Arabidopsis thaliana: one gene and its partner. The protein of the gene in region 2 interacts with the protein of the main gene of each other region in a pairwise test. Each region holds a gene or a part of one and is shown on either strand. Other genes may lie near its edges. The genes, in order: BBX30 and AT2G12646.

Evidence for each region.
Region 1: the proteins of AT2G12646 (region 2) and BBX30 interact in binary tests that used the Arabidopsis thaliana proteins (3 or more experiments, as listed by UniProt).

The regions. Positions count from the first base shown.
Region 1 is NC_003075.7:8,705,826-8,711,955, forward strand, and holds BBX30 (B-box type zinc finger family protein), read left to right. Parts: upstream 1-3,015; 5' UTR 3,016-3,055; coding exon 3,056-3,409; 3' UTR 3,410-3,657; downstream 3,658-6,130. Other genes in the region: AT4G15245 (uncharacterized protein), read left to right, coding at 689-881, 943-1,223; BBX9 (B-box type zinc finger protein with CCT domain-containing protein), read right to left, coding at 4,117-4,237, 4,324-4,706, 4,793-5,281. UniProt on the Arabidopsis thaliana protein: Developmental regulator acting by forming heterodimeric complexes, that sequester CO and CO-like (COL) proteins into non-functional complexes. Engages CO and the transcriptional repressor TPL in a tripartite complex.
Region 2 is NC_003071.7:5,165,349-5,172,982, forward strand, and holds AT2G12646 (PLATZ transcription factor family protein), read right to left. Parts: upstream 3,956-7,634; 5' UTR 3,675-3,955; coding exon 3,672-3,674; exon of another isoform or gene 3,518-3,671; coding exon of another isoform or gene 3,515-3,517; intron 3,440-3,514; coding exon 3,194-3,439; intron 3,113-3,193; coding exon 2,972-3,112; intron 2,212-2,971; coding exon 1,831-2,211; 3' UTR 1,636-1,830; downstream 1-1,635. UniProt on the Arabidopsis thaliana protein: Probable transcription factor that plays a central role in mediating RGF1 hormone peptide signaling leading to the production of reactive oxygen species (ROS) in roots to modulate meristem size and root growth, probably via oxidative post-translational modification of the transcription factor PLETHORA (e.g.

The DNA of each region.
Region 1 (6,130 bases), on a different chromosome or scaffold from region 2:
GGTTACACAATAAAGGGTAACCAAATCATGGTTCCATGGCAAAAAAAGGATAAAAAGCATGGAAGCATACAACATTCTTGAACCTAATCCTCGATTCTTGTTAAAGAAGTTGATTGGGAACAAGATAAGATGAATCCCTAAAGTGAGCTAGGAGAGGAAACCCAACGAAGACAAATAAGTGAAGCTCACGAAACCCCCAAAACAAGATGGCAGCCCTTTCAACGGGAATCCGAGCACATCAGGGAGCTCCGGAATTGCCGAGCCAAAAGTGTTAGGCAATGCTTACTCACTCTAACGAGTCCCACTTGGAAACGGAAGCTTAGAATCTTGCAACATCTTAACCACAAAGAGCCATACTAACACCACCAATCGCAAAGAGCAAAACAGAGACTTCAACAAAATCTTCGCAAGATTACACATAGACACAAATCTGATGTGGTTGAGCTTAGGTAATAACATAAGTGACAAGAGGAGACAGATAAACTTGAACGCAACAAAGAGGACTCAAGAGAGACATGCCATGGAAATGCACGGAGATGGTATAGGCAGCGACGGGCCGTCCACAAACCCATGGTCAAGCGTAGCCCTCAAATCCATCCTAGACGAAACTCACCAGAACCTACAGAGGCAAAACTAGTCTCGGACTAAAACCAGTCCACAAACAAAGTAACCACCTTTGGCTTGGGAAATGGAAAGAGGAAGCTTGCAAGCAGCTAGAGAAGCCAGCTCTAACAACCAGCCACAACACAAAGCACCAAAAAGAGACCAACTTCCCCGGTGCAAACTAAAAGAGAGGATCAGAATCGCCGGAGCTGAGACCTCAGCACTACAAGCTACACCTAAAACAGCAACACACAAACAGAGCCTCCAAACAAACCGGAGTAATGCGAGGAGACAGGGACACAAACGACTTCCAAAACTAAGCGGGAGTAAAGCGCACAGATCGCAGAATCTCTAGATCCGAAACGCTAACTCGTCAAATCGCCGACGAGAAGGAAGCCAAACCACTGAGTGGAGCCACTGGGGGGCCTCTCCCGGTCACGGCGAAGAGCACCGATGACCGGAGAAACAAAGGCGGCGTAGATCTAGGTTTTGCGAAAGGTAAAGGGTTGAAGGAAAAGTCGTCCGCGAGTGGATGCCACGCACGTCGACTTCTTCTTTTGATGATATTAGCTAACTATATTGGAAGTATAGAACCTATAAAGAATATTTCTCGAATGTAATTTAACAGTTAAGGGTTAATTAGTTAAAATTAGAATTCAAAGAGTGAGAAGTTTCGAATAGTTGCGGTGGTTAGGACGGACAAATCCTTTTACGATTTAAACCGTTTTTTGTTTACCATTCATAAGCTATAATCCGTAGTAGTATGGATTGAGAAAATAGAACAAGTCTGCATCGGACTAACTATGTACTGCTTTTACATATAAAAAAACTTGGTCTGTGGTTGTTTGTTGTCTGCTTCAAAAATAAAGTGATATGTTTCGTTAGCGGTTTAGTTCACTTTTTTCATTGCATTCATTCAAAACCTAAAACATAAACTGTGAAACGCATAAAGTTTTTATTCGTGAAATTTTTTGGTCATTCTGATGATAAATTTGGTCGAATCATCATTAAATATATCATTTAAACGTCATTAAATTAACGATGAATTAACTAAGTGTTTACCAACTAATTATCAACGATAATTTTATCAGTATATCATAAATTTGTTATGTATACGTTACCATTTCGAGTTTAAATGGTGATAATAGTCGAGATGGACATATTCATCAACGGTTTAGTATGTTCTATTTTTACTGCAGACAATAAACTGTCGCGTCGCAGACCAACTCTATTTGTATGTTAAAGCGGTTCGTAGCTAGTTCACAACAAACTTTTTAAGAAAAAAATCTCTGCTTACAATACACAATTTATAAATAGTAAATAAAAATTCAGCTCAGTCTACAAAGAGATTTGACGGCATTAACCGCTGCAACCATTAGGGGATATTCAACTTTGACAGTTTCGGAGGATGTACGTCTCCTAGAAAATAAGAAATTAATTATTTTAATCGTTAAAAGAAATTACTTTAATCATGAACCATGCAAGTGAAGTTCCTTTTTTTTTCCTTTTGCGAGCAAACTCGTAATAAAATATAAAGTTAAAATAGTTAACCACCACACACACAATGACACGAAGACACCCAATAACGTAGAGACTGTCCCGACCCGATATTCAATATATTTCTGAATGCTCACATAGTCACATAATCTTTAATAATTGTAATCAGTGGGACATTGATTCTCTAACCACTTCTTCGGCGATGAATTTTTCTAGACTAAACGAGTAACTAGTTAATAGTAAAATTTAGAGTAATTGGCTGCACTGCACCCATGGCCATCATGAGTCACCTAAATTACATTAAATTGAATGTATCTCTCTTTCTTCATCTTCTTCAACGCTTCATTCCACACTCGTAGATTTTCTTGACTCTTGTATCAATTCAGATTAAGAAAAAGGTACATTTCTTTGGTAGATGTTATGACTGCTCATAAATTTATAAAAACGAACAGAAATAGTTTTAAAAAAAAAAGAAATATTATAATCTAAGTGAAAACATGATTGAAAACAAATGATAGTATGTTACACAATTTCTCGTTCATATATTATCTTTTTAAAACAAACCAAAAACTTGCACAGTAGTTTAATGAATAATCACTAATAAATTCATATACTATTATTATATACTCCCTTTTTATAGACCACAAAAATGCTATGATTCATGATTCATTCTAGAACGTGATTGTGATATGTGACAATGAGCGAGTCATACTAGTCAACTACTCGAAACTTGTGTATCAAACATGAGGACGAGAGATCGTCTGGTGGAGGGAAAATAACTAAATTATTGACAATTTGGTCCTCTAGGGACACTCACATCAAACCAATAGGTCAATATTTTTCCACGTGTACAACCAGTTTAATGACAATTTCATAATATCCATTTGCTTTAAATAACAATCATTCCTATATAAACCTAAATCTTGAACACAAGAGAGACAAAGAAAGAGTAAAGATGTGTAGAGGGTTTGAGAAAGAAGAAGAGAGAAGAAGCGACAATGGAGGATGCCAAAGACTATGCACGGAGAGTCACAAAGCTCCGGTAAGCTGTGAGCTTTGCGGCGAGAACGCCACCGTGTATTGTGAGGCAGACGCAGCTTTCCTTTGTAGGAAATGCGATCGATGGGTCCATTCTGCTAATTTTCTAGCTCGGAGACATCTCCGGCGCGTGATCTGCACGACCTGTCGGAAGCTAACTCGTCGATGTCTTGTCGGTGATAATTTTAATGTTGTTTTACCGGAGATAAGGATGATAGCAAGGATTGAAGAACATAGTAGTGATCACAAAATTCCCTTTGTGTTTCTCTGATTTTATGTTTTGTTTTTCGCGTAATTAAGATTAAATATTGGTAGGGTTTTTTCTCTGGAAATGTTCTAAGAATGTATATTTTCATTCTAAAGCTTAAAAGTAATATATGAACACCTAGAAAACATATTGATTTAATAGTAAAATAATGCGGTCCCAATAGTAAGCTATAAGAAATCAAGAACAAATCTTCCTATGGCAAACATAATCTGCCTTTATTCTTTGGCTTTATTTTTCTTAACTAGGAAAACAATACAACGTTACAAATTACAATCAAGTGAAATGGAAGGTGGAGAGTGGTCCAAAACACAAAGAAGATATATTTTTCTATGATTAACATGTAATTGAGATTAAGGAGCTATAAGTAGGAAAGAGTCAACGACTCTTGTTTTGTTTTTTGGTTTCTGATTTTGTCTGATCGTCTCGTAGCTGTATGCCTAATTAATGCCTGTATGACCGGTAGGTTTTGTGGTTGCATCAAAAAACAGTGGAAATTCTCTAGTAAAAAGAGCAACTTTCAGTTTTTTTTTTTTTTAATCTCCATTTTGGAATCACCTTTGCGATGATTTTAAGTCTTTGTAGTTTGATCTTGTATACTTTCTCAAGAAGAGAATTTTATGTTTTTTTTTTGTTACTTCTCCGACAAGAAACTGTTAATCCCGTGGATGGAGTCAGATTATTCTTTAGTTCCGCAGTGAAGATTCACTAGTTCACATCACCAGTGACGGATCATACTCAAAAGTTTCTCCAGATTTTACAAATCTCCCTTTGACCCGTTTTCTCGTATCAGCTCTGGCTTTGCGTGATGCATATCTTATTTGCTTCCCAAACCTAGAAGAAATTGGTACCACAAATATCAATGAGATTATGTTTTAAAAGCATGATAATGACTCTGATTATGTGTCTCAAAAACTTACATGCGCTTTGATTTCTTTTGTTTGTATCTCTTTTTAGCCTCATCCCTTAATTTTGGATTAAAACTAACTTCAACATTCGATTCCCATGGCGAATCTCCTATGAGAAACCCTGGTGAAATTCCGCAATCTTGGTAATCAGTCGCATTGCTTTCTCCTGTGAGGTTAGACATCGAAAGTGACATGTTCGGTACAACGTTCCCGGATAAAGTAGGAAGCAGTAATGAAGGAAGGCCAATGTTATTCTCTTCCTTAAAAGAATCCTCGTACTCGTAACATTTGGTATTGTCAAGTGATGAACATCCGATTATATCATTGCTTGCGTTGAAATTCAACGGCGCATCATCTAAGTTTATCCCTTCGCATAGATCCAAACCAGAACATTCCTGCATATAGAACGGAATATAAATGAAAAACATTCTTCTTTATCATAAATGAAACATTTTGATATATTACTTAAACAACACGTCACCTCTTCTATCACTTTTGGAAGATTAGATTCCATAGGAAAGAAAGAAGAATAGTCTTTAAGGTTCTGAGTTTGTGTAACCACGGAAGTTGATGAACCATTCCAATCGTCTAATTCCTGGAGCAGGGTATCAGAAAATGGAGAGACCAAACTTGTGACAGAAGGTTCTAAAGTTGAAGACCAGATCTTGCCGAAATCTGATGGAGAAGGACAATCAGAGTAAGGGTTCAGACTCTGAAGTCTGTGTCCTAAACCAGTGCAGTTACTAGCGGTCCACTGACATCCTTGGCAAAGAGAAACATTTTCGTTCATACAGTGTACTGCCGTGGGTTGTAAGGAACATTTCTCGCAGAGTAGAGATCGCGTGTGTCTTTGAGACAGAGGATTCGCTGAGTGTACATTAACGTCACAGTTTAAACAAAGTTTAGCCGAATCAGATTTGCAGTAGATTAATGCTTTTTCGGTTCCACAAAAGTCACATCGAGCCTCCATACTTCTTCGAAGACAAAACTCCAAAGAAATAACGATTTCTCAATCCCAATCGCTACACACACCTAAAATCCTATAGCATAGAAGGATCGTGAGACAAAAACAGAACATTCAGAGATCAAACAAAATTACGATTCATTATAGGTTCATGTATCTTTTTAATGTGTGACTGTGACTGTGACTAATACATGGTTGTGTTTGAATGTTAGAGAAACACTCACAAACTAAGAAAATGTGGATTCTCGAGACCGAATCAGTACTAAAATCACAATGTCTAGAAACTCATAACCAGTTAATTACAGAGTTTTTTCTAAACAAGAGTATAACAATAATCGTGTAAAATTGTTTATGTTTCAGGGTTCCAGAGATTAGAAGCTTTACAAGGGTGTGTGAGAGTCCAGTGAGAAGGAGATGAGAAAGAACAGAGAAGAAAAGGTTTTGCTCTGTTTTTATCCTGTGTGGGGTCCACCTTGTTAAGCGGGTTTGCCACGCGGGGTATCTTTTGTCACGTGTGGTTTTATTGTTCCTTAGATTTTGTTGATGTCATAATGTGGTTGACCATACAATTCGGAGTTTTTGTTTGATTCTTTAGGTACTTTCTGTGGCTCGCAAGAATTTCGAGAATTGTTAATAAAAAAACGTGTAAATGTCATTAATTTTGAACACGTTTTTCTTGTTATTCAAAACATCCGAGTAATAAGACTAGTTCGAAGCAATTTATTCCGAGTGTTGGTTTAATGGATCTAGGAGTTTGCAGCATACTAGTCCGGTTTCATTAACCTGTGGTTATGGATAGTTATTGTATCTATTTCTCACTAATTTTACTAAGTGTGTTTTCACAACTTAAAATAT
Region 2 (7,634 bases):
CGACATGTCCTAAATGGTCAAGTTAAACTAAACTTTAAGATTTAAATAGTTTTGAAAGTTCATTTTGTCGTCCTAAATTTAAAAATTTGCGCTTTTTGATATTTTCCCGTTGTAAAGTTTCCATTTATTTATTTAGGAGGGTTTTATACGTGAGACCTTGGCTTAAATATAGTTTTTTTTTTTTGATTAATAAAAGAGAAATTTATTTTTGAACCGCAAAGTTTTTGTTTTCTTAAAAGTACGAATTTTAATTAGGAAAACATTTTTGTTTGGACACACATAAAAAAAAAACAGTTTTGGTTCGGTTGTGGGTTTGTTTTCAGATTTTATAATAGTGAAACCACACAATTAAGAAATTCATTTTACTTCTGTTTTGGTTTAATTTGGTTGGTTGCAGTTGTTTTGCACACCCTTTGGTTCTTTACAAAATTAGGCAAACTATACAATCAAGTCAGAATACTAGACCACGAGAGATCACCCTCGTTGTACTTGCGACTCGCCTTAAAAGTAGTAGAGTATATGTATATGAAACCTTAACAATACGTAAACTTAAGCATTTCTTGTGGTAATGTACCTCAGGATTGGCATTTTGCCAATGACTTTTCTTGTGTTATATCGATAAAGAAAAAGATTGTCCTGGATGGAAATAAAATGAAGAAACTAAATCCATCTCTTTTATTGTGTCTAACATCTAGATAAATTTGGACTTTATCCCCCATCCTATCCTCAAGTACTCTTATTCCAGGCAGTCTTTGTGTTATAACTTTGACTTCTTGGTTTAGAGAGCGGGAGATATGGACATCTCCAATATGTATTTTCATGAATACTACTATGTTATACATAGAGGGATATGAACATAGGTTTTTTTTTCCTCCAAGGCATTTTGAAACCGAACCACACCGACATTTTCATGCCCAGTGAAAGCTTGTAGTGTATATCTACCTCTCTGTTTATATCTCTCACATCTATTATTGATGTGCCTGCGTATGGGACCGCTCGCTTAGCTTCACCTTTGTCTCCTCCCATATATATCCCGGATCGAAAAATGGAGTGCGTAAAACCATTAAGACTCTGTGTTTCTATTATCATCTTGTTTATAAGAAAGTTACGAATCAATACTTAATTTATTTCACAATATTGATAGGATTCTGTCTGATTTTTTCAGAATTAGTTATATTTATTATATTTAACATAAATTACAAATATAAAAATAAATATCAATTTAAAATATATATGTATATATTTATAATATTGTTTTGAGAATCTCGTGGGTTCAAGTTTTAGTATTTTATATATATAAAATGAGTAGAAAAAAATTAGCTCTTATGAAAAAACAATATTAGAACAACATGAAAGATCCCACAGCTCGGAATTAGGAGCCACGTGAGTCACCATCAGAGCTGTCCAAAACAAATCTAATTTCATATTTCAGATTCTCCATATTATTTAATCTGAAACGATAATCTAAGCTATGAAAGCCGAAAATGTACAATTTCATATGTCAAAGACAAATTACATTGACTTCAACCTAGGTTAGATATATATTAAGTGACAAAAGAAATACTTGGCTGAGGCCTTTTAGGGATATTGAGGATACCAGAGTAGAAGAAACATATTATTATGCGATAAGATAATTTTTTTCTTATGAATTTATAAGGTATGCTAAACTAATATCTACGTAAGCAAAATAAAATAAAATAAAAAACTGATTATAAACTTTATTAGAGAGACCGCACGACAAGAATCCATACATGTAACATATAAGACTATATGGTGAAAAGAAACTAATAAAGAAGATTAGAAAACAAAAACAAAGAAGAAAAGAGTACGTTAACAGAGAGGAGATCGTTGAGGAACGCCTTTTCGCCGATTGATGCAAGCAGAAATATCGTCAGGATCCTCCGAAACTTCTTTATAACTATTAGCCGATTTAGCGCAAAGGCAAAAACCAGTCCTTTTTTTCCTCACGACATGGGTGGTGGTTGCGGCATAAGCAGCCGCCGCACCCGCATTGTTGTTATCCGAGGAAGCTGAGGACCAGCTCATGGACTCATCGCCGTCTACCACAGTTGATCGAGGAGTCTCGTAGGCCGCCACTTCATCATCTGTCAGTAAGTCTTGTGGGATGATGTAGTCAGGACCTAGGGTTAGAGTGTGGCATGGCTTGAGGAATGGGGTTATGTCCCTGTAACGTTTCATCACAAAGTCCACCTACATGTATATAAACCAAAACCTTTTATATAATCACATAGATTACTACATGCTCAAAAAGCTTAGATGTTATTCTGAGAACATGATATATTTATTACAAAGTGCAACATTGAAAAGATTTGAAAGTGTGGTGGTTTCTTAAAACACTTAGGGCCAAACCACTAGCTCAAATGATATGGGAGTATTTACAGTATTTATGCACCAAATTTACATAGTTCCAAGTTCCAATGGCAAGGTCAATGATAGACTTATTTATTAAAAAAGTTAGCCTCCCCTTTATAGAATTTCTTCATGTTTTTTTTTTTGTTAAATACATTAGTTCAGAAGGACAAGATTTCAAAATCGAGCCATATACGGGTTATTTAATAAATCCTTTTTTTTTTCTTGAGATTCTCATCTGCGGAAACTAACAAACTTTACGGGTTGAAAACATTTTAAAGGACAGCCAGGTTAGATAACTAAAAAAAAAGTGTGAATATTTTAACCAAAAGTAAAATAAAAAATGTTTTACGTTTGAAAAACAAAAATCAGGGTATTTGGTAGTATACTTGTTGTAGTATCCTGTTGATGTATTCGTATTTCTATTTGTGGACGAGTTAAAAGGGGAACATGTGTTTCTATCATAGAAACGAATCATCTATAAAGTTTAGACTATCACATAATTTAATTATTTTATATATATGCTAAGTGCGAATCATATAGTCAAGTAGAATTGAGTCAAATATTATGTAGAAGTAATATATAGTTAAGATGAAATAACCTTACAACCCAAGGAGCAATGGATATAAGGTTCTTGAAGACTTCGGTCACAAGAAGTGCAATAGTTGCCAGCTCCTTTGAATTGTCTATTTTGTGGTCTCTTCTTGATGAACACCACTTTTGCACTATTTATTGTATAAGCCTATCCACAATTCAACACCCAATCCATTTATATACATATATAGATATGAGATAATACATATATGTATAATAGATTACTTACTTGAACGTTAGAGCAGTCGATGAGTTTCTGAAGATCTTCAAGCCGAACAACGTCGTGATACACATAACGGCGAACTTGAAGGAGTCTATGGAATCTATGAGAGGGTACACAGTGAGGGCAGAGACTGGTGCAACAATCAAGACAACACACGTTCCTCTCGTTCTTCTTCGCCGTCTCATGGTATGGACATCCCACGAAGAACTTCTCTGCGTATAGCGCATCCAACCATGCCGGTTTCTGAATTCCCTACCAAATGATTTACAAAATCTCTAAAATATTTATCTCATAAACAATCTTAAATAAGTAAATAAAACTTCATACCATAATTCAACTGTTTCCTACATCCACCATTAAATCTATAATTAAGTACCAAGGAGCCAAGATGAGGATAAAGGGTACAAATATAAGGAATTCGGTACGATGATTGAGGTAATTTCACTACTTAAGATGGTATAGAATTGAAGAAGTAGTAACCTACCATGAGGACTCAACTGAAAGTCAGCTTTGGGAGATGGAAACTTTTGGCCACTACTCACTACAAAGAGTAATATTAGGAAGAGAAAAAGGATTCTTTAGGGGAGTACTTGATGATAGGATTTATGGAGGATCACAAGGGAGAGAGAAAGAGAGAAAAAAAAAACTTATATTTGATTATTCCTCGGAGATATAACTCTTTTACACATTTTAAATATCATATAAACTTGGTTGTTGTTTATTAGTGTTGGTGAGATGAGAGATAGAGGGAAGAAAAAGAGAGAGAAAGTGAGGAACGTGGGAGCTGTTTCCGTGTCTCCTACTTTAAACATATATTTATTGGGTCATCTCCTTGGCTTAAGAGCTTAATTAGGTTAAACCCTCCGTGAAGAAGAGTCTCTAGTAGCCATCACCAATTTTAATTCCTTATTTCTTCCTCTTATGATCTACCAAATACAAGAGAGAAGGATAGATGTGTTAAGACTCATATTGGTGTTCATTAACCAATTGAGGAAGATACAAAACTAGTATAAACTATTAAGTATCATCGGTCCAAGCATTGTGAATAGAATAGTAATGTATGCTTTGTTAGAAAATAGTTACATAGGCTTGTTGTAGATATTTATATAAGGTTAGTGATTCTTAAATTTAGACATAATAGATTAAATAAACAATGGATATGGATTGACTAGTCAAATTATTGCCTAGTAATACATTACAATAAGTAGTGTTCCAAGTAGAAGCTATGCAATGCAACCTACTTGGGCTAAAGATAAAAATGAACGCGACAAATTTTCGTAATGCAATCCTTACACCCTTTAATTACCGATAGAAATGTTATCTACTAAAAACTCATATATTTTGGTTGAACCAATTTTTAGATTCGTGGAAACTTATACACCGTCAAATTCTTGATGTCGTGGTATTAGTACTAAAAACTTATTTTATGCTTTATTATATAATATTTCAGTCTAATAGGAGTAGAAATGTACAGAGCATATGGTTAATCATAATGGTAGTAATTTATTAATTACAATACCCAAGAAGAAAACATCAAGAAAAAGATTCTTCTGTCTTACGCCAACTTGTTCTATTTAAATGTCATAAACGTCTAAATGGTACCGGTAAAAAAAAAAACAATTAAAATGGTACTTCTTGTTATGGCAGATAATTATATTTTATACGTCACCGTATTAATGTATGTTTATATATTAGCTGTTTAATCAAATTAAGGAATACTACCTTGCAATTTACATTAAAGTTTATCTTACAAATCTTACATCTTCTACTAAATTTTGTTGAAAATTTCAATTCTGCATAAAACAACCGCCAATTATAATTAAACATGCAATGATTTGTATAATTTTAACTTTTGTTTCCGTTTTGGGTAAAATATGTTTGATACAAATTTTTTTAACTTGTTTTATAATTTTTGAAAAATATTTGGGTTTACTTATAGAGGTGAATTCTTTTATTCACCTCCTTTTTCTCTAACCAATCAGAATCTTCCACCAAATAAAAAATATATAAACTCATTTAACTGTAAAATTAACAATAATGATTTTATTATATTTTCTTATTTTTTATTTTAAATAAATACAAATATAAACTTTAAATTCCATAAAAATTTAAAAATATTTCTTTTTTTTAAATGAATCATCATATCAAAAATATATTCCTCAACATGTCCGTCAACATCTACTTAACAATTTTAAAGTACATATTTGCTCATTTGTATGGATATGTTTTTTTTTATTTACTATATCTTAACTTTTTATTTTTGGATAAGAAAATCAAATATGATGTTTAATGCTAATATAAAACATTTGAGCTAATTTCCTAAAACTTCTCTACAAACATAAATATATGATTCTCATTTCACTTTTATTTGATCTTATATTTATATTATTTTGAATTATAATAAAATATTTATTGTTAATAAAATTTTAGATTGTTTCTGGATATATTGTGATTCAAAAGTTTTTAAACAGATATATATTACTCAATCAATGAAATATATTTTTTATGTATAATCTAAAATATAACAAAATTAAATCATTAAAAAAAATTTAATCGATTAAGAAACATTTGCTCATTTATTGTGGGTCGGGTTATAATAAAATGATGCAAAAACAAAGCAAAAATGTTTTTACAAAACCAAATAATATGGAAAACCATATAAAAGATAAAATAATAATGGACAAAAATATTGAAAACTAACCAATAAGAAGCCATACACAATCAATCATAATTTTATAATAAATAACAACAAAAAGTATTATATACAACAATTAATCGGTTTTTTAAAAAGAAGAAATTATTAATCCTGCAGTGTATATTGAATTATATATTTTTAAAATAAAAGTATTATTAAAAAGAAAAATAAGAATATGATGTTTATTTTTAAGGGACGGGATTATATGGTAAGACGGGTTTGGATCGAGGTTAATACATGACAATATATCACAGATAAAATCTTAAAATTAACAATCAAAACACAATTATACAATCTTAAATACGATTTAGTTATAAAAAATCTACCAGGAGTGTAATCAAATTCAAACATAAGTTTCTACCAATAAAACATAAAAAATAAATAATACACCAATGTCATAAGTTTATAACAAAAAAGTATATATATTTATTTCACGGTGTATTTCATACTTATTAATTACTGTCCCAACTATTACCAACAACAAAAATACATTTGTAACATCTTGTTTTATAGATAAAATAATTTATTAAATGGCGACACAAAATGCGATTTTGGGACGGTTACTTTATCATCTTCTTCTCGTCGGTTGGACGACGGTTTCCATCACTTTCGCCGGCGTAGTGGGTGGTTTCTTTTCCACCACTTCTCTGGTTTTCATCCACGTTCGGATCCACGATCTGGCGTGATGCTTCATCAACGGTTGCGTTTATGTGCCTATTTATTGGCAGATCTGCAATTCGACAAATCTCTACAATTTTCAATATCATCTCTGCAAATTTCTATCCTCTTCGCTTCTATCAAAATCTCTCAAAAATTGGTGACAATTTGCGTCGGGCTGTCCAAGACCTCAATTTGGGTGTGAATGACGAACCCATTGCTTTACCTGAAGACATTGTGAACCAAGCTGTCGCAGAAAACCGTTTCATCCTTTTTCGGGCGTCCTGTGATTCCAAGGCGACAAAACCTCCGTTCAATCATCGCTTCTATGCCGCGAATCTGGGGTAAAACCGGACTTGTTCACAGCCGCATAGTGGAGGGTCGGGATTTTCAATTCATTTTCCCAAATGAAGAATCCTTGGAATCAGTTTTGTGTCGAGGTCTGTGGGCTTTCAATGATCAAATGCTGATTCTTCAACGATGGGAGCCCTTGTTGCCGCTCCTCAATTTCATTCCTTTCTGGACCCAAATCAGAGGCATTCCATTCCAATTTCTCAACTGTGGCGTCGTCGAGCACATCGGACGGGCCCTGGGACAAGTGCTGAAAATTGATTTTGATGTAGAGGCTGTGGCGCGGGTGGATTTTGTTCGTGTTCTCGTACATTGGGACATCACTATTTCCGTAAGGTTTCAGAGGAAGTTCCAATTCACTGCGGGTGTTAACACACTTTTCCGGTTCAGATATGAAAGGCTTCGAGGCTTTTCTGAGGTTTGTGGGATGCTGACCCATGACTCAGGGGCCTGTGTTATCGTGAATGGGGGAGAAGAACAAGATGATGATGACGATGAGGATGACCAGGCTCCGCAAGGGCGTAATCAAGGAGTGGTTATTAGAGAGATTAATGATGATGAAGATTTGGAGGGTTTGGAACATGTTGCTGTTAATGTCCAAAACCAGGATGCTGTAAACCAAGATGACAACAATGGTCCGGTTGAGGATGCTGAAGCTGATCTTGCAGATATTGATCCTAACCATGATGCTCTCTTACAATCTGCAAACTCTACAATGTTTCAGGAGGAAGGGAATGCTGGTGG